Elephas maximus indicus: one gene and its partners. The protein of the gene in region 2 purifies or fractionates together with the protein of the main gene of each other region. This does not show direct contact. Links are inferred from orthologs where the notes say so. Each region holds a gene or a part of one and is shown on either strand. Other genes may lie near its edges. The genes, in order: MED16, MED9, POLR2B and MED31.

Region 1 (7,864 bases), on a different chromosome or scaffold from region 2:
AGATTTTAAATTTCCCTCTCAGGGGAGAAAAACCAAAACTCACCCCTGCTGAGACACGGTGGGGCTTCATCCAGCCCCTGCCCCACCCAATCCCTGTTTCTTGCTTGGGTTCGGGGGGAGTCTCTGGGGCCCCACCGTTGCCCCAGGAGCTTCGTGTCTTGTGTGTGTTTGTGCGTGTGCGTGCCCCACTACCCAGGCCAGGAACAGCGTTTTAAAGGCTGGATTAATCCTCTTTTTGGAACGTGTGTCCTCCCCTGGTGCCTTTTGGCTGATGTGTTTTTGCTTGTGTGACATGGGCAGCTCTACGTGTCCCCTCATACCCCCACTTCCCTCTCCCTTCCTTGGTACTCTGGGGGCTCAGGACTTCCAGCCAGAAGCTCCTGTCCTCAGAAAGCCCTGTTCCCCCACCTCATGTCCCCTGTGTCCCCCAGCCTGGCTCTGGCCCATTGAGTCAGGGAGTCTCCGGCCTCTCTGCTGGTCACCCTACCCCAGGCTGTGAGAGCAGGGCTGGGGACCCCCCTTCCGAGTGTGTGGTTAGTTGTGTTTTTGGGAAAATGGAGGGTTCAATAAATTTCTGGTGCTCTGCCCTCGGGCTGGGCGGCTTTTTCTTTGGGTGGTGTGTGTGCTGGTCACTGAGGGCTGCAGGCCTGGCGGGATGAGATTCCCTGATAAGAATGCTATCCCTGTAGAAGGTACTCATGGGAACCCTGTTGGGTGCTGCCAGGCCGTTAATCTCTTGAGTACCCCCGGTTCGAATCCCACCTCTGCCTCTTTTCAGCTGTGTGACCTTGGATGCGTCACTAACCTCTCTGTGCCTCAGTTTCCCCATGTGATAAACAGGGTCGGCAGGAGGATTATGTGAGATAATTGATGCAGGTAAAACCCTGGCTCAGGGCAAGTAATACCATGCTCAGAAATCTATTTAGCTGCACTTCCTGGCCTGGGTTATTTGTTTCCCACCAATGGTAATTTTGTATCCCCCTGCTCACAGTGTTTTTGTTTTGGAAGCTCAGACGCCAGGGAGGTGGCAGGAGGGGCCTGTGAATGCCATTCCTCTGGTCACTGGATCCATTTCCCAATGACTATTTTCTGAGCCTTTTTTTTTTTTTTATTGTGCTTTAAGTCAAAGCTTACAAATCAAGTCAGTCTCTCATACAAAAATTTGTGAACACCTTGCTATATACTCCTAGTTGCTCTCGCCCTAATAAGACAGCACACTCCTTCCCCCCACTCTGTATTTTCATGTCCAGTCGGTTTCTGACCCCCTCCGGCCTCTCATCTCCCCTCCACACAGGAGCTGCCCACATAGTCTCATGCGTCTACTCGATCCAAGAAGCTCACTCTTCACCAGTATCATTTTCTACCCCGTAGTCCAGTCCAATCCCTGTATGAAGAGTTGGCTTTGGGAATGCTTCCTGTCTTGGGCTAACAGAAGGTCTGGGGACCATAACCTCTGGGGTCTTTCTAGTCTCAGTCAGACCATTAAGTCTGGTCTTTTACGAGAATTTGGGGTCTGCATCTCCTGTTCTGAGCCATTTTGAGAGGGAGGTTCGGGCCTGGAGTCTGTCACCCTCAGTTGTTCGGCTCCGGGAACGGGGACTTTCTGCACAGTCATGGCACCATCCTCCCTTGAGGACTTTAATCTTGATCCAGTGTGGCCTTCGGATATTCAGACCCTTAAAGAAAGATAGCCTTTTTACTTTAGAACAGCAACAGCGTCAGATTTACAGTCACCGGGAAGACAGTTCAGAGAGCCCCATCCACCACATGCCTGCTTTCCCCTTTTTGAACGTCTCACATCAGTGTGGCCATTTGTCACAATAATGAACAATATCAATACTGGGGAGTCTTTGGGTGACAGCTTGATGCCTAACTGACAGGTTGGCGGTTCAAACCCACTGTCTTAGCTATCTAGTGCTGCTGTAACAGAAATACAAGTGGATGGCTTCAACAAACAGGAAGTTTTGTTGTCTCACAGTCTAGGAGGGTAGAAGTCCAAATTCAGGGTACCAGTTCCAGGGGAAGCCTTCTCTGTCAGCTCTGGAGGAAGGTCCTGTCATCAATCTTCCCGCAGTCTTGGAGCTTCTCAGGCTCAGGGACCCTGGGTCCAAACGACGCTCTCTGCTCCCAGTGTTGCTCTCTTGGTGGTATGCGGTCCCCCTGTCTCTGTTCACTTCTCTTTTATATCTCAAAAGAGATTGGTTCAAGACACAACCCAATCCTGCAGATTGAGTCCTGCCTCATTAACGTAACCGTGCTAATCCCATTTCATCAACATCATAAAACCAAACCCATTACCGTGGAGTCTATTCTGACTCATAGTGACCCTATAGGACAGGGTAGAACTGCCCTGTGGAGTTTCCAAAGAGCGCCTAGTGGATTTGAACTGCCAACCTTTTGGTAAACATCCATAGCACTTAACCGCTATGCCACCAGGGTTTCTGTTATAGAGACAGGATTCACAACACATGGAAAATCACGTCAGACGACAAAATGGACAATCACACAATACTGGGAATCACGGCCCAGCCAAGTTGACAGACATTTTGGGGGCACGCAATTCAATCCATGGCACCCACCTAGAGGCCCCTAGGAAGAAAGGCCTGGTTATCTGCTTCTGAAAGGTCACACCCTTGAAAACCCTATTGACTCAGTTCTGCTCTGCACACATGGGAACGCCATGCTTTGAAATCGACTGGCTGCCAAACGACAACACTGATACATTATCATGAACTAAGGTCCACACTTTATTCAAATTTCTTTCGTTTTTCCCTGATTTCCTGTTTCTGGGACCCACGGGACCTTTAGTTCTCGCATCTCTTCAGGCTCCTCTAGGCAGCGACAGTTTCTCAGACTTTCCCTGTTTTTGAGACTTTGATGGTTTTAAAGGGTGTTACTGAGGAGTTTTGTGGGAGGCCCCTTGATTGGGGTTTGGCGCTTTTCTCATGAGGAGACTGAGGCTGTGGGTTTTGGGGAGGAAACCCCAGGGGTGAGGTGCCCTCCCCATCTCACCATATCAGGGTGCATACAGTCCACATGAACCGTCACTGTGACATTGACCTTGCTCACCTGGCTCAGGTGAGTTGTCAGGTGTCTGCACTGTGAAGTGAGCCCTTTCCCCCCTTTCCAAGCTGTGCCCTTTGGAAGGACATCACTATGCACCCACACTTAGGGGTGGGCGTAAGGCTGGAGAATCTACACAGAGTATTTTGAATTCTGCAGGGAGATCTCTGTTCTCCCTCTATTAATTTATCTGTCTTAGTCATCTAATGCTGCTATAACAGAAATACCACAAGTGGATAGCTTTTAACAGAGAATTTTATTTTCTCACAGTCTAGTAGGTTACAAGTCCAAATTCAGGGCGTCGGCTCCAGAGGAAGGCCTTCTGTCTGTCAGCCCTGGAGGAAGATCCTTTGTCCTCAATCTTCCCTGGTCCAGGAGCTTCTCAGGCACAGGGACCCCGTGTCCAAAGGACACGCTCTGCTCCTGGTGCAGCTTTCTTGGTGGTTTGAGGTCCCCAACTCTCTGCTTGCTTCCCTTTCTTTTTATCTCTTGAGAGATGAAAGGTGGTTCAGACCAGGGAAACTCCCTTTACATTGGATCTAGGTGGTGACCTGAGAGAGGGTGGTGTTGCAATTCCACCCTAATCCTCTTAACGTAAAATTACAATCACAAAAATGGAGGACAACCACACACGGCCTAACCAAGTTTATACACAGATTCTGGGGGGGACATAATTCAGTCGGTGACATTATCCAATCATCTATTTATAACACTATGAACTCAAGGGGGATCACTTTAAATTTTGGATTATAATCCCATACTACTTTATTTTGTTGCTTAAGCGATTCCACTTCAGCCCTGGGGAGCTCTTCGGTTGTCTCCTGCGTCCTTTCGACCTACCCCATCATGTGGGGGGGTTATTTACCGAGTTATTTCCTTATTTTCTGGCACATTTTGTATACTTCTGCACCCTCCTAGAATCGGCCATTTCTCCAAGGAGCCCGGTTCTAACTATCGGAGCGTGATTTGGGGAACCAAGATCTGGGCGCTGGGCGTGCGCGATTCCATTTTAACACACGTTTAAAACGTTTTCAAGACAGATGTTGAAAATGGAAATCCAAACGTTGGGTAGAGGTGGTGCGTGCCCAGTGCGGGGTTCAAAAGACCCGGCTGGACTGACCGGCGCGAGGGTCACTATCCGGGAAGTGGTTCCCAGAGGGCAAGCCTTGGGGATTAAGGTACGGGCTGCGGAGTTGGGGTGCTCCCCAGGGTTGGGGTGCGCTAGAAGCGTTGCCTGCAACTTTAGAACGTTTTCTTCGGTAGCCCAAGAGGGGCAGTGCTGGCGGGGGGAAAAGAATGAGATTTTGGAAAAGAAATCAGGTTTGGAACCGGCAGTTCCCCCCACGGGACAAGCCTTGGAGCTTCAGTTTACCCTCCAATGAAGATTGGAAATAAGAACCAAAATATGGAACGCTTCACGAATTTGCGTGTCATCCTTGCGCAGGGGCCATGCTAATCTTCTCTGTATCGTTCCAATTTTAGTATATGTGCTGCCGAAGCGAGCACGGTTACCACGCTAGTCCGTCCCATATTTATAGTATCTCCTGTTCATCTCTTTACAGTAAAGGTCACTCTTTTTTTAAGGTTAGCAATCTATAAATCCTTTATATGACATTAGTACAACACATGGAGTAATAACAAAAAATTTTAAGAATAACTGCCGTGGAGAAAGTCCCCTAGTTGTTCTACCAACTAGAACTGCGATGGCTGCTGGGAAGATTTCCATGTAAATAAGCCACCGCATGCAAATTATGGCGCTGGGGCGGGGCCGTCCCAGAAGTCTCTGCGAAGCTGCGACGCCGCGCAGGCGACTCTTTGGTCCCGGGTAATATGGCGGCGCCGGAGCCCGCGGGTTAACGCGAGTGCGGGCCGTGGCCGCCCGATCGGCTTGGCGCACGGGCTGGCCAGGTGAGCGCGGCGCTGCGCGGGCCCGGCGGGGGCGTCCGGCGTCCGGACGTTGCTCGCGGCCCCGGGGAGCGCGGGCCAGAATAGGTGGAACCGGCGGGGGCGGGGCCTCGAGGGCCACCGTTCCGGGGGCGGGGCCTGCAGGGCCGGGGGGCGGGGTCTGGGAGCAAAGGGTGCTGGGTACGCGGCCAGCGCGCCGGGGGCGGGCCCAGGGGCTGTTACGGGAACTTGGGGTGGAGCCTGAGGTCCGCGGGGGTCAGGGCCTGGGGGCCGTGGGGGAATCGGGGCGAGGACTGCAGAGCAAATGCTGATGAGGGCGGGGCCCGCGGGTCAGGGGCGGGGCCCGCGGGTCAGGGGGCGGGGCCCGCGGGTCAGGGGGCGGGGCCGGGGAGGACGGGGCTGGTGGGCGGCCTGGTCGGGGACACGTTGGGGTGGGGTCCCCGGGAGGAGCCTGGGGAGACTTTGGGGTGAGCCCGACTCCGCGGTGTCACCAATCAGGGTCCTCCGTGTGCTGCCCTCGCCTCCCGCGGGCTCCTGCGGACAGCCGTCGGGCTCCTGTTTTTTGATTTTTTCCAGCCACGGCCCTCCAGGGCCCCGGGGCGAGTCCTCCTCGTCCACAGCCTGCCTGTGGGCCCCCTGCCCTTCCCTCCTCCTTCCTCTTGCTCACTCCCTGCTCACTCGCTGTAGCCACAGCCATGCTGCTGCCTTTCTCCAACTCGCCAGGCTTGGTCCTGCCTCAGGGCCTTTGCACGTCCTGTTCCCTTCCCTGGAGGCTCTTCCTCCAGATGTCTCCTGCCTCCCTCCTTCACCCCTGTGCTCACATATCGCTTCCCCACTTAAAGCTGCAGATCCTCCCACCACACACACACAGTGCCCAGGGCAAGGATTTGATCTGCTTTGTTTACTCCTGCGGTATGTCTAGGGTCCAGAGTGCCACTTGGCACACTGCAGGCGCCAACATCAATGACAAGCCCTCCCTCCTTCAGGAGCTAGTGACATCCGTGCTGTGTGGCAGGTGGCATAATGGACCTGGCTTACGTCTGCGAGTGGGAAAAATGGCCCAGGAGCACCCTCTGCCCTTCCGTGCCCCTGGCTTGCGCCTGGTCTTGCCGCAACCTCATTGCCTTCACCACGGACCTGCGGAACGATGATCAAGGTGCGCTGGCCGCACCACAGTAGTGCCCCTGGAGTCCTGGGGAGCCAGCACCGTGGGGCTCAGTCTCAGGCCTGTCTAGGACCCCGGTTCCACCCCTCACCCAGTGGGCAGCCTGGCCATTCACCCTGCCCCCTTGTCTATAACCTGGGGGCAGTGGGATCTCCAACCTCACAGGGATTCAGGGGGTGAACATGGAGACCTCTCATGCCTGGAACCTGCAAGGTGCTTGGGTTCACTCCCACGGGATTGAGTGGGGACGGGGGGTGGTGGGTCACTGAGGCGTATCTGGAGACTCACTCGCCCCATTTTCCATTCGGTCTTTGAACATATGGGTCACTGTTTGGCTTTTGAAAATCTCTGAAGTACACAGTGCCCAGGTCTCTCTCTGCCATCGTCTGCATAATATGTGCTCGTTAGAGAGAATTAGAAAAGCACAGAAAACTAGAACTAGGAAAAAGAACCACCTGTTACCTTCCACGGACAAGTGCTTACTGTTAGCGTTTTGGGTTCATTTTCTCCCATTTTTGTTTTCTGTGCCTTTTGTGAGAACGTGGTTGTAATTACATTGGCAGTGGTGTGTTCCCTGCCTGCCTCTCTCCTCTGGCGGGGTCACACACGCGCCTCACTGTGTCACCGTTGTCCTCAACGTGATTGATGGCAGCTCCACAGCTTCCCTGTGAATGGGGTCTTTGGTGGGCTGCTCAGTTGAGCCTGCCTGGGGTCCTCAGGGTGCTCCTTCAGGGCCATGCTGACGGTGCTCCGTACCACTTCCGGGCCATGCTGACCGTGCTCCGTCCCACAGACCTGACTCGTATGATCCATATCCTGGACACGGAACACCCCTGGGAGGTGCACTCCATTGACTCGGAGCACCGTGAGGCCATCACCTGCCTCGAGTGGGACCAGTCAGGTGAGGAACGGGCCCCGGGTTGGGCTGCGACATGCTCACATCTCCAACTGTAGAGTTGGGACTTGGACCTCCTGCCATCAGTCTCTCCTGCTCACTGTGTCCAGAGACGTTTCCTGAGCGCACCTCAGGCCTCCCGACTGCTGGGCCTTTGCCCAGGCCACGCCTTCCACTGGGCACTCCTCTCATACCGTCTGTACCCTCGAAACCTGTCCCCCCTTCCCAGGCCCCTTGGGAGTTTGCCCCTGCCTTCTGGGGAAGGTTTGTGATGCAGCTTTGTCCCCACAGGCTCCCGGCTCCTCTCGGCCGATGCTGACGGCCAGATCAAGTGCTGGGGCATGGCAGACCACCTGGCCAATAGCTGGGAGAGCCCAGTGGGCAGCCTGGTGGAGGGGGACCCCATCGTGGCCCTGTCCTGGCTACACAATGGAGTGAAGCTGGCCCTCCATGTGGAAAAGGTGAGTGGCCCACCTGAGTGAGTAGGTTGGTGGGTGAGATCTTGCCATCCTACCCATTCACCTGGCCACCTGTCTCCCCGTCTCCCACCACCACCATTGTCCCCTGATTTCTTGAGCCCTGGGCCTGGTTCACACCTGGGATGAGCACCTGGTTGTCAGTGGGGCTTGAAACGGGTTCTGCCTGGTTCAGTCATGGCCAAGGAAGCGTCACTGGAACAGTCCCAAATTTTTAAAGTTATGGTGTATCAGAAAGATAGCTGGAGCAGGAGCAGTTATTGGCCAAAGTCCTGTGTTTTGGTCATCTAGTGCCGATATAACAGAAATACCACAAGTGCATGGCTTTAACAAAGAGAAGTTTGTGTTCTTACAGTCCAG
Region 2 (7,821 bases):
TAGTATCCATTAGATTGGTGCTGTACTGAAAAAAAAAAAAAAATCTGTATGAGTCCAAAAGATCAACATTTAATCCAAAGCAAAGATTTGAAGACAAGGAGGCAGGAAAACTAGAGTACTGGAAATAGAACAACCAGAATACACCTAATGAGAACGCTGACACAATGTGAAAAGTGTAACTAACGTCATTGATCAGTTTGTGTGGAAATTGTCAAAGGGAAACCTAACCTGCTACATAAACTTTCACTAAAAACACAATCATGGTGCTATGGATCTCTTTTGTGTGGTCTTCCTGCCATGGTCTTGGAAATCCCACCCAAGTGATTGGGTGGGACTATGCAAATAAGGTAATTGTGGCCCACCAAAGGGATTGGTCAGTTTTGCCATCCCCTTAGGCTTAAGATGAGCCATCCCAGAGGCAAGAAGGAGGGGATCTCCCCACTACCAAGGAAGACGGGCCAAGAGCAAAGCAGCTCCTTTGGACCCAGGATTCCTGTGCTGAGAAGCTCCTGGAACCAGGAGAACAAGAGAGAGAGACAGAGAGAGCTGCAACACTGAAGATGGTGAGAAGCAATGCCAGAGAAATGGCTGCAGGAGAGAACATGCAGGGAGATGGTGCAGTGTGCTTTCCAGTCCATGGAGTGAGAAAGCAGTGTACCTTCAGGCAGGAGGTTTGCTGGTGGAGTAGGGTGCTTCCAGGCACTTGATAGAGCTAAGTTTGCCCATCCACAGAGCTAGAGCTGAGCACCTTTGGGCTGAGGTTTACTGATGGAGTGGGATGCCTCTGGGCACTTAGCAGCAGAACTAAAAGAGCTTGGTAACACTTGCCCGAGCAGGAGCCAGAGAGAGGCCTGCCTGTGGGCACAGCTGAGAAGAGGTTGTCCTGATGGAAGAACTGTATTCTGAGAGTTCCTGAACCTGAATTGTAACCCGTAATAAACCTCATAATTGTGAGTATTGTCCTTGAGTTCTGTGTAGCCACTGTAATGAACTATCGAAACTAGCAGAGAAGTAGAGTGTTGTGGGAGGGACAGTTGGTGTCAGAATTGGTAAAGATGGCAGAAAGAGGAGGCAAGTCTGACCTCTGCCTCAGAAGAACCAGCCTTGGGCTGTTGATCTTGATTCTCCTTCACCCTTATGAAGTTAGAGGAGATCAGATGCCACCTCATGCCATCTTTACAACAATAAAATATTATTTTAAAAAGGAGAAAAATATATTTCATACTTATGCACATATTGACTATTTTCAGAGTTCTTCATTCCACTGTATAGACTCAAATTTCTACCTAGAATCATTTTCCTTCTACCTAAAGACATGTTTCTTTATGTTGTTTGGCCACTGTTCTATAGGATTTCTCTTATTATTATACTGATATTATAGTGAAATACATAGGAGAAAATGGACTATTTTAGACAAAACATTTACATGTAGACAATAAAATACCTTGTTCGCAATTTTTAATATAGATTACATGTTGAAATAATAATATTTTGATTGTGGGTTAAGTAAAATGTATTAACATTAAATTCACCCATTTCTTTTTTTTTAATGTGGCTAAGAGAAAATTGAAAATGACATTTCTATTAGAGTGCTGATCTAGATCATTCTAGACTATTCTTCTTAACTGCCACCAGTTGATTTTTTTTAATTGGTGAGGGAGGAAACCCTACATCTGAATAATAAGAATTAATGTTTGCTGAGTGAAGATACTTCTCTACATGCTTTACCTGTATAACCTCACTCAATCCTTCTATGAGGTTGAATCAGGAAACAATTGTCCAAAGCCGTCCAACTTCAGAAGCGGAGCTGGGATGGAAAGCCAGCAGGTTGGTTCTGAAGCCTGAACTCACAACCTCCACCTGACCAGACAAAGCCCTTTAAGAAGCTGCTTCGGAAAGTGATCCACATATAGCTTAACTCTGTGACGTTCATAACAACATATACTCCTTAGGTATCAATGAAGCAGCTGCCTTTTTCTGACTCTTCACAAGGCGGTTATAAACAGACACATGTTTGTTGCCGCAATTGAAGCTTTAATGAAACCAGCACAGGCAGTATTTTTGTGACATCCACTTGCATCCTTGTGAAGTCAGCTTTACTCTTTGCCCCTAATTATATTAACTATTTTTAGGACAAATTGTCAATGTGCCATACTTGTTCATGCTTAATACATTTTCAAATTGTTTTCTTTAGCCATATCTATTTATACTTGAAGTGTTTTTTTAAAAAAAGATTATTCCGGCAATGACAAAGATTCATGATGAAGTTATAAAACACACCAGGAGAGGAAGATGACATGCAGTCACCATGGGGATATTATTGATGAATAGCAGATTGCTTTTTGAATTCTGAATAAGAACTTAACTTTAACATTTTGAATCATAAAGTTTCAGAATTGGAAGGGACCTGAGGTCTCTTATGCACAGGCTTGGTGCCAGGAAAGTTGTGTGTGTGACCCCGGGACCAGGGTCTTAACCGTTGTAAGACTCAGTTTCCTCATCTATAAAATGGGAATGCAAACATCTACCTTCTAAAACTCCTTTGTGGATTAAATGAGATAATATTGTAATTCTGTTTCTTGTACCTTCTTTTATTCCATGGTAGCTATGGTTATTATTATTATTATTACCATTATTCCATCATTATTTCCCCCAGGTGACTCCAAATGTATACCCTCTCTTCCAGCACATCTGGTCTTATCCCAATAGTCCTTTCTCCTCTATTCTCCACAAGAACTCTTGAACTCTTCCCTTAGGTGAGGAGGTCCCTGCAGGCCTCTCCCCCTCCCTTTCCTCTCCAGCACCCCCAACAACACCCAGTTTCCACTCTGCAATCTTGCTGCCCAAGGATCTGCCTGCTCCCCATGCTTCCGAAATATCAGTTACTGCTCATCTGGCTGCCTGAAGGTGGACTCCTTACTGCCCATGATGGTAGACTGAGGAATGATGCCAAATGAAGGCTTTCCTAGCCCATGCCTTTCTTCTTCCACTGGCTGCCCAGCCTAGACATTTATTGTACAGTCCCCTGGTCGTACCTATTTGAGGAACATAACCACAAACCACCAGAAGTCTCCCTGATTCCTTGGGTCCCAGGGGGTCCTCATGCAAATGAGACCTACCTTCAGGGGTCAGCCACATATTTAAACTTAGAAAGCAGTCTAGGCTTCGGAGGTAAGGAAACTGGGACCTAGGGAGCTTAAGGAACTGGCCCAGAAGTATGAAGAGTGTCTTAGTTATCTAGTACTGCTATAAAAGAAATACCACAAGTGATGGCTTTAATAAATAGAAATTTAATTTCTCACAGTCTAGTAGGTTACAAGTCCAAATTCAGGGTGTCAGCTCCAGGGGAAGGCTTTCTCTCTGTTGGCTCTGGAGGAAGATCCTTATCCTCAATCTTCCCCTGGTTGAGGAGCATCTTAGGCACAGGGACCCTGTGTCCAAAGGACACACCCTGCTTCTGGTGCTGCTTTCTTGGTGGTATGAGGTCCCCAACTCTCTGCTTGCTTCCCTTTCCTTTACTCTCTTGAGAGAGAAAAGGTGATGCAGGCCACACCCCAGGGAAACTCTACCTTGGATCAGGGAGGTGACCTGAGTAAGGGTGGTGCTAAAAAATCCCACCCTAATCCTCTCAATATAAATTAATTACAATCACAAAATGGAGGACAACCACACAATACTGGGAATCATGGCCTAACCAAGTTGACACATATTTTTGGGGGGACACAATTCAATCCATGACAGAGAGTATTTGAAATTCTTCAATGTATTATTATTTGTGGCATGAATCCCCATCTAGGTCCTTGGGTGGTGCAAACAGATTTATGCTCAATTACTATCCTAAAGGTTGGCAGTTTGAACCCACCTAGCAGCCCTGCAGAAGGAAGGCCTGGTGATCTGCTTCCATAAAAACTACAGCCAAGAAACCCTGTGGAGCAGTTTCACACTGTAACATATGGGATCGCTGTGAGTTGGAATCTACTCCATGGCAACAGGTTTAGCTTTGTTATTTTTTTTTTGTTTTTTCGGGGGGAGGGGTGGTTAATCCCTTCTGAAGGAGCCCTGGTGGTAGAACGTTTAAGTGTTCAGCTGCTAAATTAAAGGTTGGTGGCTGGAACCCATCCAGACAATCTGCAGGAGAAAGACGGGGCTATCTGCTTCTGTAAAAGTGAAAGAAACAAAAAACAATTCTAAAGGTTACAGCCTAGGAAACCCTATGAGGCAGTTCTACTCTGTCCTGTAGGGTCGCTAAGAGTCTGAATCGACTCCACCACAGTGGGTTTGGTTTCTTTTTTTTTTTTTTTTTTTCAGTCTTCCCATAGTTCAACTTTTTTTTCTTCAGGAGACCTTCCAGAGGAATGGCGGATGGTGGGAGCCCTGGTGGCGCAGTGGTTAAGAGCTGTGGCTGCTAATCAAAGGTTGGCAGTTCGAATCCAGCAGCTGCTCCTTGAAAATCCCATATGGGGCTGTTCTACTCTGCCCTATAGGATCACTATGAGTTGGAATCAACTCAAGGGCAATGGGTTGAGTTTGGGCCACGCTGAGCCTTATTTATCGCAAGGTTTCCGTGTTGGTTGCGTTTGGGCTCTCTTCGTCAGATGAATAGGAATAAGAAAGACTGGGTTATTTTTTGAAATAAGTCTCCTATTTCCGAGTGTTTAATAATTTAGCCATGTTGACTCACAGCCAAGTTCAGGCCACCCAGGCCCGCCAACAGCCTGTTGCCCAGCAACAGTCGCCAAGCACTGCCCAGCCCCTTTGCCCGGCACCCATACGCCTGTGCGCATGCGTAGACCCTTCCTGCCGGCGCGCAGCGGTGACGTATGAAATCCGTGACGCTTTCGGCGTGTTGATCCCCCCAGGGTCCTGCTGATTGACTGACAGACCCCTGAACTTCATGGCCTCCGCTGGTGTGGCCCCCGGGCGTCAGGCGGAGGATGTGTTGCCGCCGCCGGCCGAGCCGCAGCTTCCAGAGACGAAGCCGCTGCCGCCTTCTCAGCCGCCAACGCCGGTCGCTGCGCCTCAGCCGCAGCAGTCGCCCGCGCCGAGGCCGCAGTCACCTGCGGGCGTGAAAGAGGAGGAGAATTACTCCTTTTTACCTCTGGTTCACAACATCATCAAATGGTAAGGCCCTAGAAGATGACCATCCACGACACTCCCCCCTGCTTCGCGTCACACCCCTGTCAGAGCTGGAAGAGGCTTAGAGGCTGCCCCCATTTTACATATGGGGCTTCGGAACCGGAGGGGAAAGAGGCTTTTCCCAGGACCTCGCAGAGCCTTTCCATGAGGTCAGCAAATGCCTTGATCCCTAAGAGTTACCAGGCCTCATGATGGCCAGCCGATATTAATAAGAATGAAGTCAGCTCAGAGACTAAATTCACAGACTCTGGAGTAAAAAAAAAAAGTTTGCATCGCAGCCATCTTGAGCAAGTTCAGCCTCTCTGACCCTCAGTTTTCTCATCTGTTATATGGGGGTAATTCTCACTTTGGCTCCTTTTTTCTATTCAGCCAACAGGTTTTGGCCCTCCTTCCTGTATGACACACGGCTAAGTGCTGTGGAGTGTGCCAGTTAGAAGGAATGGGAAAGACACATAATTTAAGATGATAAGGAAGGGCTGATGATTAAAAGAAACAAGTTCCCCACCAGATTAGATCCTGTGGCACTAATTTCCTTCTAACATAGTACCATAGGGGGTGGTTGTCATCCTTTTGGCCAGGATTCAAGTTAGCTAGAGTTTTCAAACTGACCCCTGTAAAAGAAAAAAAAACCAAAGGTCTCCCTGATCCCCATTTTTACCTAAGTTATTTTTATTCTTGTTACTTGAATATCTATCCACAGGATACTAGGTGGAAACCCCTTATGCTTATAATTTATTTAGCCATTAAACCAATACAAATGCACAAAGTAGGTTAAAACGAAATTACTATTCTAGCACAATTCAAATGCACATTAGTACGCTGTTTGATGTTTTGCTGAAATGGAATTGCTACATGAGGATAAAAGAAACAAACAAATAAAAAAAACCAAACCCATTGCTTTGGAGTTGATTCCAACTCATAGCAACCCTATAGGGCAGAGTAGAATTGCTCCATAGGGTTTTCAGGGAGTGGCTGGTGGATTCAAACCGCTGACCTTTTGGCTTGCAGCTGAGCCCTTAACCTCTGCACAACCAGGGCTCCCACATGAACATACGGACCATTAATGGCCCAGATTCTTTTGAGTAGCCAGCCTAAATTCACTTGCTGTGGGATACATGATGTTTCCACCATTTTTCTCTTCAAACTATTGCAAAACCTTTGTTCTCACATTAGACCCTGACTTCGTCTGGCTTCGCGTTGCATAAACAAAAGTGAAGCAGACTCTGTTCTTGGCAACAGTGAGTTTGCAAAGACAAATGCAAGTGCACACCCCACACTCCTGGGGCAGTACTGGATTATGAAGGGGTTGGCCAGGTTAACCCAGATATACTTACGCTAGTTTTTAAAAAATCTGGGAAAATGAAAACCCAAAATATACACATTCGCAGAGACGGTTCTTAGACCTCTGAGAGTATGTTCCTGAGCCCTGATAGAGCAGTGGGGTTCTGCTGGCTTTAAGGATGGGGCAGTAAATTATACTAGAGAGAACATAGGCTTTGAAGTCAGGCGGTGCCGGATTCAGGTGTGTTAGGCCTTAATTCTCTCATCTCAATATGTGGATAATAATAATGGACCTCAAACTAGGGGTTCAGATTATAGCTCTATAATATGCTAGCTGGATGACCTTGCACCAGTAACTTAACTTCTCTGAGCCTCTTTTTCTCCTGTGAAATTGCTGAATTGTTGTGCAGTATACTCAAGTGTACTTTCCCCCCTGGGAAAGACGGCGGGTTAATCTCATGCATTCATCTCTGTTTCCTCTAAAAGGACAGTGAAGGGGTTTTTCTTTCTTTCTTTTTTTTTTAATGTATAAAACTAAAAAGAACAGGAGAGGAGATGATTGCCACAGGGCAGGCGGTCAAGGGCTGACTCACCTACCAGCCCTGAGAGCAGTCCACCTTTGACCGTGCTGTTGTTTTTAGGTGCTGTCAAGTCAGTTCCGACTCATAGTTACCCTGTGCACAACAGAACAAAACATTACCTGGTCCAGCACCATCCTCACAATCCTTCGTATGCTTGAGCCCATCATTGCAGCCACTGTGTCAATCCATCTCGTTGAGGTTCTTCCTCTTTTTCAGTGACGCTCAGCATTACCAAGCATGATGTCCTTCTCCAAGGAGTGGTCCCTCCTGATAACATGTCCAAAGTACGCGAGATGAAGTCTCAACCATCCTCGCTTCTGAGGAGCACTCTGGCTATACTTCTTCCAAGACAGATTTTTTCATTCTTCTGGAAGTCCATGGTATATTCAGTATTCCTCACCAACACCATGATTCAGAGGAATCAATTCTTCCTCAGTCTACCTTAGTCATTGTCCAGCTTTTACATGCATATGAGGCAATTGAAAATACCATGGCTTGGCTCAGGTGCACCCAGTCCTTAAAGTGATATCTTTGCTTTTCAACACCTAAAAGAGGTTTTTTGCAGCAGATTTGTCCAGTGCAATATGTCATTTGATTTCTTGACTGCTGCTTCCGTGGGCATTGACTGTAGATCCGAGTAAGATGAAACCCTTGATCTTTCACCGTGGCCTCTCCCGAGATTCCAGGAATCAGCAGTATCAGGAACCTCTGGAAATAAGGGTGAAAGTGGGACTAATAACAGGAGGATCACTTAAAAGTCTCTTTAAGAAACGGATCCCCACAGTCCTCTGACAGGGAACTCAAAGCAACAGGTGACTACGGT
Region 3 (7,835 bases), on a different chromosome or scaffold from region 2:
AGTCAGACCATTAAGTCTGGTCTTTTTACAAGAATTTGAGTTCTGCACCCCACTTTTCTCCTACTCCATCAGGGACTCTGTGTTCCCTGTCAGGGTGGTCAGTGGCAGTAGGCAGGCACCATCTAGTTCTTCTCGTCTCAGGCTGATGGAGTCTCTGGTTTATGTGGCCCTTTCTGTCCCTTGGGCTAATATTTTCCATGTGCCTTTGGTGTTCTTCATTTGCTTTTGCTCCAGTTGGGTTGGGACCAATTGATACATCTTAGACGGCCACTTGCTAGCTTTTAAGACCCCAGATGCCACTCACCAAAGTGGGATGCAGAACATTTTCTTAATAAACTTTTTTAGGCCAAGTGACCTAGATGTCCCCCGAAATCATGGTCCCCAGACCCCTGCCCCTGCTATTCTGTCCCTTGAAGTATTTGGTTGTGTTCGGGAAACTTCTTAGCTTTTGGTTTAGTCCAGTTGTGCTGACTTCCCCTACACTGTGTGTCAGATAGGTAAATTTTATGTTTGCCTTAAAAAAGTTACTAATGTTAACTACAATCTATGGAAATAAGACCACGATACCAACTTTGCTTTTTTCCCCAAAGGCAGTGGGAGTCAGACTGTTGCAATGATCAAGTGTACAACTGGCTGTGTAGTGTTGGGGGTAGTGTGGTGTTGGAAATCAAACTGTTTTTATTAATGAAAGGCTGGAAACAGATACCAAGAAAAGGAGGACAGATTAATTTAAAGCTGCTGCAGGGAATCACCTTCACTACCTGTAATGGTCTGCATTGAATAGGGTGCCTCCTGAGGAAATGTTTCTACTGCTGACAATGGCTAGGGCAGCAGCTATTGCATGGTTTCTTTTCTGGACTCCTCCAAGTAACTATGGTCCCAGCGTACTAACCTCTGGGTTTCCAAAGAGAAGCTTTGCATCTGAAGGGCTTCTATTTTCTCCACAAAAACTAGCTAGCCCACGACAGCTGTATTTCAGGTGGCACTCCGAAGAATTTTAGCACAGAACCAACAACAGCTTTCCTACGGAAGATGCTTACCTACTACATAACCATGCTTTTTCAAGAGATTAAGTTGATTTTGTTCTTGCTCTGTAAGATCTTCTTCAGCTTTTCTTGCATCTTTTTTAAGCCTCTTTTGCCTTTCAAACATTCTATAAGGCGTTGGGTTGCAAATAGGAAACTTCAGAAGGTTTAATGTAGTACCTAAAATACCAAAGAATAAGTGGGCTTTTATAAATGCTGTACCAAAAAAAAAAAAAAGAAACGCGCGGGGCGGGGAACGACTAACATTTTTGAAGAGTTACACTGTGTTGGATACCGTGATTTATCTCACTTAAGCTTTGTGATAACCCTCTATAAAATTATTCCCATTTTACAGATGAAAAAACAGGCTCAGATTGGCTCAGGATTTGAATCCAAAATTTGCAGATCTGATTTCTTTCCATATTCACCATGCATAGAAGCACTTTCCTGTATAATTCAACCAAAGTTCAAAGCAGAAAGAAAACCAAAGACACAAAGAAAATATTAGCCCAAAAGATCAATGGACCAAATGAACCACACACAGCCTCCACTAGCCTGAGCTCAGAACTAGATGGTGCCGGGTTACCACCACCAGCCACTCTGACAGAGATCACAATAGCGTCCTGGACAGAGCAAGAGAAAAATGTAGGACAAAATTCAAGTTCACACAAAAAAGACCAGACTTACTGGTCTCACAGAGACTGGAGGAGCCCCCGAGACTATGGCCCCCAGAAACCCTGCTAACTCAGAACTGAAGCCACTTCCGAACTCCAACTTCCAGACAAAGATTAGACAGGCCTAAATAACAATTTTTTTTTTGTTCAATCAAGTATACCAGACCAAATGGGCAACTAGTGCCCAAAAGCAAGATGAGAAGGCAGAAAAGGATGGGAAAACTGGACAAATGGACACAGGGAACCCGGGGTGGAAAGGGGGAGTATGCTGTCACATTGTGGGGACTACAACCAACATTACAAAATGATTTGTGTATAAATTTTTGAATGAGAAATTAATTTGTGCTGTAAACCCTCACCTAAAGCACAATACAACAAAACAAAACCAAAACAATAAAGTTCAAGGCCGAGAAAGAAAAAAGCTTGCCAAAGCTCAATTCTAGTTTCAAAGGAAAAACTGGGACAGTTAGTACCCACAAAAGATTAAACCAAAAAAACAAACAAAAAAACTCCACCAAACCTGTTGCCTTTTCAGTCGATTCTGACTCATAGTGACCCTATTGCCAACTGTTAAATACTAACAGGGTCACGTTGTTGTTACGTGCCTTCAAGTAGGTTCCGACTCATAGCGACCCCACAGGAGAACTGCCCCATAGGGTTTCCAAGGAGCGGCTGGTAGATTTGAACTGCCAACCCTTCGACTAGTGGCCTAGCTCTTATCCATTGCGCCACGAGGCCTCCAACAGGCTCATAGAATGACCCATTTTTCGATTACAGAAACTTCTTAAAGCCACAAAATCGACATTTCTTCTAGACAGAGCCACACATCATATTGCTTCACTGAATTTTTCAAAATGTGAAATGTGTGTATAGCACACTTCACATTTGTATGAATAAACTCAAGATATGAGAAGTAGGACTGAAGGGTGTAAGTTCAGAGCATAAAAGGAAACATAACGTTTCAGAGAAACACACAAAGAAGTTACAAGGGAAACCTCCAAGACAGCAGGAACTTTGTATCTCCAGTGCCTAGAACAGTGACCGGCACATAGAAACGCTCCATAAATAGTTCTATTACAAAATTACTACAATGCATACAGATTGTCCAAGCACTAAGATGACTCAGAAAAGAGACCTGTGACCAAAGTTGGGAAAGAATTTCTAAAGGGAAAACTGTAAGCACCTCCTGGTGGACATTACAAATGCTGTACTAGACGCCTGGGGTCACGACCAGAAGTCCAACTTCTCAAAAACCGAAAGGGGCGAGCCTCGTACGGCTCACCTGGCCAGGTGGAGATGGTGGCCCTGTCGATGGCCTCGGCGCCCTTGGCGATGCAGTAGTCGGATTCTAGGAGTGTGTTGAAGAGAGTGGACTTGCCGGCGTTGGTGGCGCCCACCAGGTAGACGTCACCACGGTAGCGCCAGGAGCGCTGAAGCGCGGAGATCAACTCTTCGACCCCGTAACCGGTTTTGGCGCTTATCAGCCGCACGTCCCTGAGTACCGTGCGGGGCTTGGCCGACGGATTCGGATTTTCCTCCGGGTCCCCAGGGCCGTCTCCGCCGGGGCCCTGTGGCCCTCGGTACCTACGAGGCGGCAGGAGGCCGGCGCGGGCACAGTCGTTCCACAGCCGCTCCCGGAGCCGGCGCCGGTAGCCGGGGGCGTCCTGGGGCAGCAGGTCCACCTTGTTCCCCAGCACGATCAGTTGTTTGGGGCCCACCAGCGCCGGCAGGTCGGGCAGCAGGGCGTCGGGCAGGTCGAGCAGGTCCACCATGTAGAGCACCAGTGCGGGACCCGGCCGTCGGAGCGCGGAGCTCACGAGCTCCCGGTACTGCTCGCGGCTCACCTGCACGCGCAGAGCGCGCCGGTGGTGCACCAGCAGCCAGCAGCGCTGGCACACGGTCCGCGCCAGCCCGCCGTCGGCCTGCGCCGCGGCGCTGAGGAACTTCTCGCTGGGCAGGTAGCCGGGCACGTCGGGGTTCTGGCAGTGCAGCTCCGCCCCGCAGCCTGAGCAGTTCACGCCGCTGGGCGGCACCGCCGCGTCTGGGTGCCCTACGATCGGGTGCACCCGGCGGCTGACCCGTAGCTTCTGCTGGCGTCGCTCCTCCCGCCGCTGCTGCTTCTCTCGCTCCTCCTCCTCCTGCCGCTGCAGCTGCTGCTGCAGCTCCTCTTCGGGGGTCGGCGCGGGCTCCGGCTCCGCGACGTACTCAGGGAACAGAAATTGCTCCTCCATGTCAGTCCTTCCTCCGTAGCCCCCAGTCGCCGTCGGGCCATAAGAAAGCCCACGTCCCAGGCCGGAGGGGTGCTGGAAGGAGTAGGCGGCCGCGTATCCTCTCTCGAGCAGCGGCTCCCGGAGGCCATGGCGCACTACCACAGGAGCTGAGGCCCGCAACAACGAGAGGAACAACTCACGGGTTAGGCGTGCGGGCAGCATGAGAAACGCGGCACCTGGGCAAAAGGGCGGAGCCACCTCCGCACATGCGCACTCGGGACCGAGGCGCGAGGCAAACGCGAGTCGAAAACCCCGGGGTGTCTGGGAGCTATCATTCTGGCTCCTCCTCCCGTTTTGAATTCCGTGAGTTCTCGCGATTGGAAGGCTTTGAGGCCACGAATCTGGGACCTAAATACTCACTTAGCTGCCACAAGAGGATAGTGCATGCTTTGAACTATTCAGATTCCTTCAACGCTCCACCGCTAGCATACCCTGCTCTTAATAAATTACATTTTAAAAGCTTGCGTGTTTTTTGGTCTTCAGAAGTGCAGAAAATAAAACGAGTGTCGCAGAAGCAGGGCCGCAACGAAAGCCTTTTATTAATAACACTTTTTAAATTAATACACCTTGGCTAAAAAAAAAAATCATTATTTGCGCAACAACACTCAGAGTGTGCACACAATAAAAAAAAACCTGCACTGGCCGAATACCCTCAAACAGTACGAGGAGTTCTAGCGAACAGCCACTAGAGGCGTCGTGTCAGAATTTGCGCGTGCGTAAAGCCAACCCTAGCCAACATGCTCTATCATTTGCGCAAGCGCAGTTCTAATATTTGCTTCTTTGTGGGTGGCTTTTTTTGGTGTTTTTTTTTTTTTTTTTGGTGTAAGACGCACAGTATTCTGGGAACGCCGGAGACGGAAATTACTTCGACGCGCTCTCCGGGAGCTGGCGGCTGCTTCGCTCTTTTCTGTCTCTCTAGATTTCAAGAGCTAGGCGCTCCGGTACCTTTTGCCAATATGTATGACGCGGACGAGGGTAGGTGACCACTCAAATCTCACTCCGCGGCGACCCAGTTAGGGTGGGGAATTTGGGTAACTGGACGGATTGAGGATTTGTGGCCGACCCCCGCCAGCCGCACAAGTGTCCCCGGTTGTGGTCCTCGCATACTACAGGCCGAGAACGAAGCCAGGTTGCGAGAGGTGGAGGGTGCAGGGAACGTGACGTTGAAGTTCCTAGTCAAATGACTGTTATTCTCTTCTCCCTCTCTATTCTCTATCCTGTTAATTGTGCTATTTACCTGCGGTATTGCAAAAACGTACAGAACCGTAAGACAAATATGGTTGTTTTGACTTGATCTGAAGCAAAGTGCTCTTTTCTTGATTTCCCTTAGGGCCACAGTTAGTGGTTTTATCGACTAGTTCAATTAATGAGCGTCACCCTTGTGCCAGGCATTGTGCTGTTGTTGTCATTAGGTGCCGTGAGGGTCTTCCTCTTTTTTGCTGACCCTCTACCAAGCATGATGTACTTCAGGGACTGGTCCCTTGTTTTAACATGTCCAAGGTACATGAGGCGAAGTCTCACCATCCTCGTTTCTAAGGAGCATTCCGGCTGTACTTACTCCGAGTCAGATTTGTTCCAACTTCTGGCAGTCCGTGGTATATTCAGTATTCTTCGCCAATACCGTAGTTCAAAGGCATCAGTTCTTCTTGGGTCTTCATTCATTGTCGAGCTTTCACATGCATACTTGATGGAAAATACCGTGGCTTGGATCAGCCGCATCTTAGTCCTCAAGGTGACAGCTTTGCTTTTAAATACTTTAAAGAGGTCTTTTGCAGCAGATTAGTACAGTACGTCGTTTGATTTCTTGACTGCTGCTTCCATGTGCATTGATTCTGGATCCATGTAAAATGAACTCCGTGACTTCAGTATTTTTTCTGTTTATCATGATGTTGTTTATTGGTACAGTTGTGAGGATTTTTGTTTTCTTTGTATCGAGGTGTAATCTATACTGAAGGCTGTGGTCTTTGACCTTCACCAGTAAAGTGCTTCAAATCCTCTTCACTTTCAGAAAGCAAGGTTGTGTCATCCGCATATCGCAGCTTGTTAGTGAGTCTTCCACCAATCCTGATGCCACTTTCCTCTTCATATAATCCAGCGTTTCAGATTGTTTGCTCAGCATACATATTGAATGAGTATGATGAAAGGATACAACCCTGACGCACACCTTTCTTGACTTTAAACCACCCAGTATCCCCTTGTTCTGTTCTAACGACTGCCTCTTGGTCTAAGTACAGGTTCCTCATGAGCACAATAAAGCGTCCTGGAATTCCCATTCTTCACGGTGTTATCCATAATTTGTTATGATGCACACAGTCGAATACCTTTGCACAGTTAATAAAACACAGGTAAACATATTTCTGGTATTGTTTCTGTCAACCAAAATTCCTTTGACTTCAGCAATGGTATTCCTTGTTCCATGTCCTCTTCTGAATCTGGCTTGAATTTCTGACATCGTGCTAGGCCCTGGAAATACACTGGAGAAGGGGTTGATCTAGTTTGGCATTCCTCATGCTGTCTTAAGTCTAAGCAAATTGTCTTAAAAGATGGCTTTTAAACTTACTCTTCCCACAAGGAATTGTAGTAATTGTTCTTGCTTGATAATACGTTTTACTGAACAGGTGGAACGTATCCTTTTTCTTTTTGTATAAAGAATTTTTAATCATGTCTAGTGTATTTTCATGTTGTGTTTTTAAAGCTCCCTCTTCGATTGCCTACAGTTACTATTTCAAACTTCATTCTCCTCCAGCTCCTTATCCTATGGTCACTGCTTGCTTTTCTTGTCATTCTGTTAGCTACTTCACGGAGAAAATAGAAACGGAAAGTTAAAACTCTGCTGTAATGATTCTGTCTGATTCATATCTTTTGTCTAGAAGTTCATCAGCATCTTTACATTTCTTTTTCTTCTTAACTTTATCTCAGAAGAAAATTTTAAAGTTTTAAGTTTTTGAGTAGGTACTGTATTCTCATGGCTCACCAGCTAGAAATTACAAACACTTTAAAGTGCCTGTTCTCATTCTTGTTTACCATCTGTCTACTTTAATCCCTTCCACAAATGAGTAATCACTCTTTTTAGATTCTTACTTATTACTCCAGAATTTCTTTTATGCATATTTAAGCAAATACAAATGAGATTCTGTGGGGCAGCTTTGTTCAGTCCTGTAGGGTTGCAATGAGTCAGAATTGACTCAACATAACAGGTTTTTATTTTTCCCCCTTTTACAAATAGAAGCTAATATTCACACTTCTCTGCACTTTTATTTTTTGCTTAATAAATTTAGGAGATTTTCTATTAGTATATAGAAAGCCTCGTTTTTCTACCATAGTTAACCTAGTTTGTATGGATATCTGTAACTTAATTAGGTAGTGTCTTGTTGATGGACATTGGTTATTTCCAGTCTTTTTCTAGTTCAAACAGTGGTTCATAATCTTGTACATATGTTTTTTTTCCCACGTACAAGTATGTCTCGAATAAATTCCTGGGTATAGAATTGTTGGTTCAAATGTTAGACACATTTAACATTTTGATAGATGGTGCTAAGTGACCGCCAAGGTAATTGTACAATTTTACATTCTTATTAGCGATGTATAATAATAATGCCTGTGGAAAAAGAGTTAAAGTTATCATGTTCATGAATGCTCTAGGATTGAGTACATTCCATTCACGTCTGTGCCCTTTGAAATCTGTTAGACACCATCTTATCAGTTTTCAGACACTACTTTTCATCTGGTTTCTGTGTAAAATATTAGATGTCATTCACAGGATACACCATTCACAGTTAAACCCTCTTTTCACTGTTTTCTTTTTTTTTCTCCCGGTATTTTTGTCTTCCTCTTTCCATTCATAGCCACGCTTACTAAAAGGAACA
Region 4 (7,436 bases), on a different chromosome or scaffold from region 2:
CGTTAATTATCTCCAGAGAATGGGAATGGAAAGGAATGACATCAAATGGTTACACATCCTTGACTTATTTCATTTGTTACATTAAGCACATATCACTTCTGTAATAAAAACTTTAATAAAGAGCATTGTTAAAGAGAACTACCTTAAAAATTTAAAAAACATTGATTAAGAGGGTGTTTGCATGTAATGCCCATAGTCATCCATGTTAAAAAGAATTAGTAAGCTCACCAAAGACTAAAATTCCCAAGGCTAATTATTAGTTTATTAATTTATAGTGGAAGTGTTATGAGTCAGAAGCATTAGGCTAGCCTCCAGGGTTTTATAACATTTCTCCTGGCCTGAGCCTCTGTACAATGGAAGAGCCCAGTGTACTTCCCTGTAATTAAATGAATAACATGGGTAATGACTTATCACAGGGCCTGGCAATATCAAGTACTCTACCTCACAATGTGGGCCCACATTACCAAGATAACTTATAGCCCACAGATGGGATCACCTGTCTTCCTGGGATAAATATCACATAAACTATTGAAAGCAGGGGTGTTAAGGTTCCTCAAAGAGCAACATATCTCTCTTCTCTGAGCTCTCCTGCCCTGCTCTTCACCAGAGGTCACTATCTCTAACCCTTTCCCACTAGTACGTAGGCCTCACACAAAACAACTGCTCTGAAGAGATTGGGCAATGCTCTAGCTTTCCAAGCTGCTGGAAACTTCGAAGTTTCTCAGCCTTGGCACTCTTGACATTTTGGGCCGAGTAACTCTTTGTTGTAGGGAGTTGACCTGTGCTTTGTAGGATACTTAGCAGCGTCCCTGGCTTATACCCTTAGATGCCAGTGGTACCCACTCCTGCCTTTGCTCCAGTCGTGACAACCAAATATATCTCCAGACACTGCCAAGTACCCGCTGTTGGGCAAAACTGCCCCTGGCTGAGAACCATTGTTAGAAATCAATTCAGTTGTTCTTTAGTTTCCCTTGAGGACCTGGAGCTAGAACTACACGTTAATATCCATGCCCTCCCCCACCCCCACCCCCAAAAGAATCCTTGAACCACTAGAAATTGGTTTAAGACCTTCTTCCCAATAGCAGTGTACTAATGTTGGCTGTGAAAGTCAAATTTTGTGAAGCAAACTTTCTCCCTTATTGGTAGCTGCCAAGGGACTACAAAAAAAATGGACTACAGGCAAGGAAAAATTAGGTGGGTCAAGCCTGGCCCTATGTCGTTGAGAGAGAGGGAATAGATGCTTTGACTTGCTGGTGCTCCTTAAAGAACAAGGTCTTAATTTTATTCATGCAACATGAAATGAAGGGGGCAGAAACTGGCAGCTGAGCAACTGACAGTTCCATGGGTTTAAGCGCCATTTATGTACTGATGATGCCACATTTTATATTTCTAACCCTCATCTCTCTCATGGTAGCCAGTCTCTTAATTCAACTGCCACTCAATGTCTCCACTTGGTTATCATATAAGTGTCTCAAACTCAACATGACCAAAACAGAAGCAATTTTCCCTCCTAAACATGCCCTTCCCTAATATTTCTCGTCTCAGTACACGGCACCATTTACTTGACTGCTCAAGCCAAAACTTCAGAGTCATCCTTGATTCCTCTGTTTCTCTTTCCCTCACCTTCCATATCTAATCAGTCAGTTAGGCCAGCTCTGCCTGAAAACACACCCCTAGTCTGTCCACTTCTCTCTAGCTCCACTTCTGCCACCCTAGACTAAGCCATTATCATCTGTTGTTGGACCATGGCATTAGCCTCCTAAATAATCTCCCTGATTCCTCTCTTGTTCCGTACATCAGGGTTGCTCATTCTCGGCATTATTGACACTTTGGGCCAAGTAATTGCTGTGGGGGCGCTGACCTGTGCATTGCTGAGCAGCATCCTTGGCCTCTACTCACTGGATGCCAGTAGCACCCCCACCAGCTTTGACAAACATGTCTCTAGACATTGCCAAATGTCCCCTGGGGGATAAAACCACCCTTGGCTGAGAACCCTGCCCTACATTCATTGTACACACAGCAGCCAGAGGATCTTTCGAAAATGTAAATTGCATAATGTCACTCCCCTGCTGAAAACTCTCCAATGTCTTCCCATTGAGCTTAGAATAAAACCCAAGCTCCACACCATGTCTTACAAGATGCTCTATGATCTGGCCCCTGCCTACTTCACTAATCTCGTCTCTGCCAAGTCATGCTCCTGCTCTCACTTACTAAGCCACACTAGTCTTCCTTCTGTTCCTCAAACTTTCCGAGCTGGTTCCTACCCAACCCTTTGCACTTGCTGTTCCCTCTGCCAAAAATGCATCCTCTCCAGATCTTTGCATGGCTCACTGTTCACACATACAAACCTCAGATCAAATGTCTCCTTCTCAGCAAGGCCTTCCCTGACCACCCTCTCTAAATAACTCCTTACCCTCATTTTCTATCACATTGCTTATTTATTTCCTTTGTACTGCTAATTACAATAGAAAATTGTCTTGTTGTTTGTTGCCTGCCTTTTTTTGTCTTTATTAGAGTGTAAGCTCCATGACCACCACTCATCTGTCAGTTTGTCATACCGCGGTAGTTTGTGTGTTGCTATGATGCTGGAAGCTATGCTACCAATATTTCAAATACCAGCAAGGTCACCCATGGTAGACCTGTTTCAGCAGAGCTTCCAGACTGAGAGACTAGGAAGAAAGGCCAGGTAATCTACTTCAGAAAATCAGCCAATGAAAACCCTAAGGATCAGCAAAACATTGTCAGATACAACGCTGGAAGATAAGACCATGAAGATAGGGAGGGATCAGGAAATGTTACATTCTGTTGTACATGGGGCTGCTATGAGCTGGAGCTGACACATGGTAACTAACAACAACAAGCTCCATGAGAGGAGGGCCCTTGTCTATCCTGTTCACTGCGATAGCCCAGTGCTTAGAATAGTGCCTGGCACCAGCAGGTAATCAATAAATATTCTTCCCCTCCATCATCCTCAAACCACAGGTCAGGTTTTAATGACCTCCTCTCACCTCCCTTCTAGGATTTTTATTGATTTTTGTTGTTGTTGTTTGCCTTCACCTTTCATTTTTAACTACCTTTGACCTGTATTAAAAAGTGTGTGGTCAGGAGTACCATGTACAAGTGTTTGGCATAAAGAAAATAATTAACTTGTTAATCTGAAACATAAACAAAGGCCAATTAATCATGAACTTCTGTTCCTTGCCCCTTAGGCTTTTAACAGGTCATGACTACTTTCAGTGTGGTCCCTGTTCCACAAGTTTGCGACTGTAAAAGTCTTTCTATCAGTGGCTATCAATCCAAAACTCACCTGGCTCAGAAGCTCAAGCAGCCTCTTTGTCCATCCAGCCCAATTTATACAGTATCATAGGCCTGAAAACTTTTTGGGTTGGCTTCAAATTAAAACAGTCACTGGGTCAAAGGTAGGATGGTCGAAGGTGCAGGGCGGTCAGTAACAGTTGGCTGAGTCCAGAAATCACAGCTTGGCTGCTTCTTACATTCATTTATGGCTTGGTTCCATGAAACCAAAGACAACTGGTCCTCCTGGCAGCTGACTGGCTGGAAACTGGAGGCAATCGTTCGGTGGCCAAGGGCCAGGGCCCTCTCGTGGCCTTTGGACAGCATCTCACGGGGCCGTTTTTACGTTCTGGCGGGCCGCCGGCTTGTCCCGCCGGGCCGGGCTCTCCACGTGGTGCAGAGACGTCTCCACTCGCAGAGTCGACGCCCGGATGTGGCGGGAGGACGTTTCCGTGCACTGGGAGGAGGTTTCCACGTGCTGGGAGGACACCTCGAGGACGTGAGGGAGCCGTTTCCCAAAGGGGGCAGTGGGGGGCCCCTCGCTGCGGCGCAGGGAGGTCTCCACCTGACGGGAAGACGTTCGCACCTGCCTAGAGGATGTCTCCACGCGGTGGGACGAGGTCTCCACGCGAACCGTCGAAGTCTCCTTATGGCGGACCGTCTCCACTCGGGGTGAAGAGGGCTTTCCCCTAAGGGGCGAGGCCATTCTGGGGCTGTATCGCGGGCCAACGAGGCCTCGAGGGCTCACAGCCCACGCTCGCCCTCCATCAAGCCTCTGGGTTAGGACACAGGGTCACTTGTTAAGGAATGACGTCATAATGACGTATTATGTCATTGCAGGCACAATGGTGGAAGACTACGATGCTGTCACGGGCGAGAGGGCCACAACATGATGACACGGGATACTGAGGGTCTTGTAGAGGCTGAAAGCCCCTCGCCCTCAGGACCTCCCGGAGGAAAGGCCGGGCTGCCTTGGGCTTGGCTCTCGCACCAGCCGGTAGCCCCTCGAAAGCTTGCGTGGGCGGGGCCAGGGCGGGGCCGGACGGCGATGGGCGGAGCTGAGAGCTACAGGGCGAGGCTCGGCCCACCTCCGCCCCCGGTATCCCACACTGCCCCGGGACCGGAAGGTGAAGCTGTGACTTCCGGCATCTACCCAGTGGCTGCGGTCAGTTGTTTTGTCGAGTGGTGGCGGGCAAGTGTCTTTGGTTTTTATGGCCGCTGCCGTCGCCATGGAGACAGGTGAGTAGCGCTCTGAGCCTCGAATATTCGCAAATAGTACTATTTTTGGTCCAGACACTATCTCCCGTTTCCTCTTGGCCTCCTTTCGGGCCTAACTCCCGGCAGGATTAGAGCCCGGAGAGGGAGGGGCGGTGTTTCTTGTGGCGTCTGGAAAGGCGAAGGTAGTTTTTGCCTTTTTAGAGTTTCGTTGGTTCTCAGATATTTTCTCCACGCTTGCTATGCAAACACTGACCCCGTCGGCTTCCCGGCGTGGGCGAGGCTGAGGTATCTTCAATGGCCTCCTCCTCGGTTTATTTTCTGCGTTTCAAATAAGCTTGCACAAGTTTGAAATACCGTCGACAAACTTGTGTATCATTCTGCTGTTATTGAAGTTTCTCAGGTGTGCACATACTTCATGGTCTTTCACACTCTGTGTAGTCGTCTTTTTCGGCTTGCATTTTGAGTTTTTTCCTGATTTAGCACTCACTGAACTGTACCTTAATTTAGTGACTTAACGATTGTTGTTATAGTGCATTATTAAGGTAGGGGAAGGCAAAATTGTTACAGCCTATTTCAGTGATTTAAAGTCCCAGTGGCCCCCAAGTGGTAGGTACTCTGTATATTCCTGCTTTTGTTGACTTCTCTTTGATGTTAGAAAAACTCCTAACTTATTCCTTTTAATCAGAGCTCCTCTTTTTTTTTAGACTTCAAAGGAAGGTTTACCTCCTCCCACACCCAGTTTAGGAAAATCATCATATACTCTTCTTTATACAGAAATGTACTTCAACATTAGTCAGGTTTCTTTATTACGGCCTTTCTACAAATCAGGATTACATATATAGTGACATTTATTTTGGGTGACTTTCGATGTCTTCTGTCCTAGATGATGCTGGAAATCGACTTCGGTTTCAGCTGGAGTTGGAATTTGTGCAGTGTTTAGCCAACCCAAATTACCTTAATTGTAAGTTGTTGGGCACCTCCTTAAATTGAATATGTACAAATATTAATGATTTCCGACAGAAGAGTTGCAATTCATAATAGTACCTATTTTTATACCTTTTAGCTTAATTGAGTAGAATTAGTGCTACACTTATACTGTTGTATAGATGTAATTGAGCATGCTGGAGCTTGTTTTGAATTCAGTGTGTGTTTGTGGTGGGGATGTTAAAGTAAGCAAATTCTTTGTATGTTAGGAGTCACAAACCAGTGGCCCAAGGATGGGTTTGACCTACAGATTTTTTTTTTTTTTTTTTTGTGCCTTTCAGTTCTTGCCCAAAGAGGTTACTTCAAAGACAAAGCTTTTGTTAATTATCTAAAATACTTGCTTTACTGGAAAGAGCCAGAATATGCCAAGTATCTAAAGTAAGTTTAATTTTTATAATCCTAAGTATGTGTGTGTATTTGTTATACTGATCTTTAACAGACTTCTTAGTTTCAAATTGGAAAAAATATATATTTTGATTCTCCGGACCTCTTTTAGTTGTCACCACCTTAATACAAGGCACCCTCATCTGCTCACTTGGATTACAGTGATCTAGTGACTGGTTATCACTGCTCTCACTCACCTCCCTCCCTTACCCCCAAACCAAACAAAGCAAAACAATATTTTCTTCACAGAAGCTAACTTTATCCCTTAAAAATGTAAATCAGAACACACCACTTTCTCGCTAGAATTTTTCAATGGGTTTCTATTGTATGCAGAATAAAATCCAGTCTTTGTTCATGGGCTAAGTCCGTATATGATCTGACCCCTTCTTGTACGACCTTGTCTTGTACTACTCACTCCATCTCACTCAGTTTCTGACCCTAAGGAACCCAGCTTAAAAGTGCAATGACATAGCCATAGGCTGAAAATTAAAGAACACAGAAAGGTGTACTTGCAGGGAAGGAGTTTCTGAGGTGCCCTAGACAAGATGTTGTTGTTAGGTGCTGTTGAGTTGGTTCTGACTCATAGCCACCCTGTGTACAACAGAACGAAACACTGCCCAGTCCTGTGACATCCTCACAATTGCTGTTATATTTGAGCCCATTGTTGCAGCCTCTGTGTCAGCTCATCTCGTTGAGGGTCTTCCTCTTTTTCGCTGACCCTGTACTTGACCAAGCTTGATGTCCTTCTCCAGATTTGTCCCTCCTGACAACATGTCCAAGGTACATGAGGTGAAATCTCGCCATCCTCACTTCTAAGGAGCATTCTGGCTATGCTTCTCCCAAGACAGATACGTTCGTTCTTCTAGCAGTCAGTGGTATAGTCAGTATTCTTTGCCAACGCCATAATTCAAAGGCATCAATTCTTTTTCAGTCTTCCATATTCAATGTCCAGCTTTTGCGTGCATATGAGGCAATTGAAAATACCATGATTTGGGTCAGGCACACCTCAGTCCTCAAAGTGACATCTGCTTTTTAACTCTTAAAAGAAGTTTTTTTGCAGCAGATTTGCCCAATGCAATATACATCATTTGATTTCTTGACTGTTGCTTCCATGGGTGTTGATGGTGGATCCAAGTAAAATTAAATCCTTGACAACTTCAATATTTTCTCCACTTACCATGACGTTGGAGTCCTGGTGGCATGGTGGTTAAGAGGCTACAGCTGCTAACCAAAGGGTCGGCAGTTTGAATCCATCAGCTGCTCCTTGGAAACCCTATGGGGCAGTTCTAATCTGTCTTAAAGGGTGGGTGTGCGTTAGAGTTGACTTGACAACAGCAGGTTTGGTACCATGATGTTGCTTATTGGTCCAGTTGTGAGGATTTTTGTTTCCTTTATGTTGAGGTAGACAAGGTAACCTTGCCTAAGTCTTACAGCTGCTGTCTTTTTTTATGTGCTAAATACTGCGCTAAGTGCTTCACATCCATGACTTTTTTTTTTTTTTATCATTAAGTATATAGCTCATTTATTGATCATTCAGGGTATGCAATGGACACTTT

The links.
Region 1: the proteins of MED9 (region 2) and MED16 purify together in Homo sapiens (affinity purification with mass spectrometry; 5 studies listed by BioGRID and IntAct, with this or other methods). This does not show direct contact. The link is inferred for Elephas maximus indicus from reciprocal best matches to the Homo sapiens genes MED9 and MED16.
Region 3: the proteins of MED9 (region 2) and POLR2B purify together in Homo sapiens (affinity purification with mass spectrometry; 4 studies listed by BioGRID and IntAct, with this or other methods). This does not show direct contact. The link is inferred for Elephas maximus indicus from reciprocal best matches to the Homo sapiens genes MED9 and POLR2B.
Region 4: the proteins of MED9 (region 2) and MED31 purify together in Homo sapiens (affinity purification with mass spectrometry; 4 studies listed by BioGRID and IntAct, with this or other methods). This does not show direct contact. The link is inferred for Elephas maximus indicus from reciprocal best matches to the Homo sapiens genes MED9 and MED31.

Annotation. Positions count from the first base shown.
Region 1 is NC_064821.1:626,180-634,043, reverse strand, and holds the start of MED16 (mediator of RNA polymerase II transcription subunit 16), read left to right. Parts: upstream 1-4,854; 5' UTR 4,855-4,971; intron 4,972-5,954; exon of another isoform or gene 5,955-5,983; 5' UTR 5,984-5,991; coding exon 5,992-6,124; intron 6,125-6,926; coding exon 6,927-7,034; intron 7,035-7,319; coding exon 7,320-7,489; intron 7,490-7,864. UniProt on the Homo sapiens protein: Component of the Mediator complex, a coactivator involved in the regulated transcription of nearly all RNA polymerase II-dependent genes.
Region 2 is NC_064820.1:214,931,024-214,938,844, reverse strand, and holds the start of MED9 (mediator of RNA polymerase II transcription subunit 9), read left to right. Parts: upstream 1-4,812; 5' UTR 4,813-4,894; coding exon 4,895-5,121; intron 5,122-5,131; exon of another isoform or gene 5,132-5,136; coding exon of another isoform or gene 5,137-5,285; intron 5,286-7,821.
Region 3 is NC_064823.1:104,050,935-104,058,769, reverse strand, and holds the start of POLR2B (DNA-directed RNA polymerase II subunit RPB2), read left to right. Parts: upstream 1-4,823; 5' UTR 4,824-4,925; coding exon 4,926-4,944; intron 4,945-7,835. Other genes in the region: NOA1 (nitric oxide-associated protein 1), read right to left, coding at 1,041-1,205, 2,982-4,131. UniProt on the Homo sapiens protein: Catalytic core component of RNA polymerase II (Pol II), a DNA-dependent RNA polymerase which synthesizes mRNA precursors and many functional non-coding RNAs using the four ribonucleoside triphosphates as substrates.
Region 4 is NC_064837.1:16,396,703-16,404,138, reverse strand, and holds the start of MED31 (mediator of RNA polymerase II transcription subunit 31), read left to right. Parts: upstream 1-4,421; 5' UTR 4,422-4,505; coding exon 4,506-4,533; intron 4,534-5,395; coding exon 5,396-5,473; intron 5,474-5,777; coding exon 5,778-5,874; intron 5,875-7,436. Other genes in the region: C19H17orf100 (uncharacterized protein C17orf100 homolog), read right to left, coding at 3,623-4,000. UniProt on the Homo sapiens protein: Component of the Mediator complex, a coactivator involved in the regulated transcription of nearly all RNA polymerase II-dependent genes.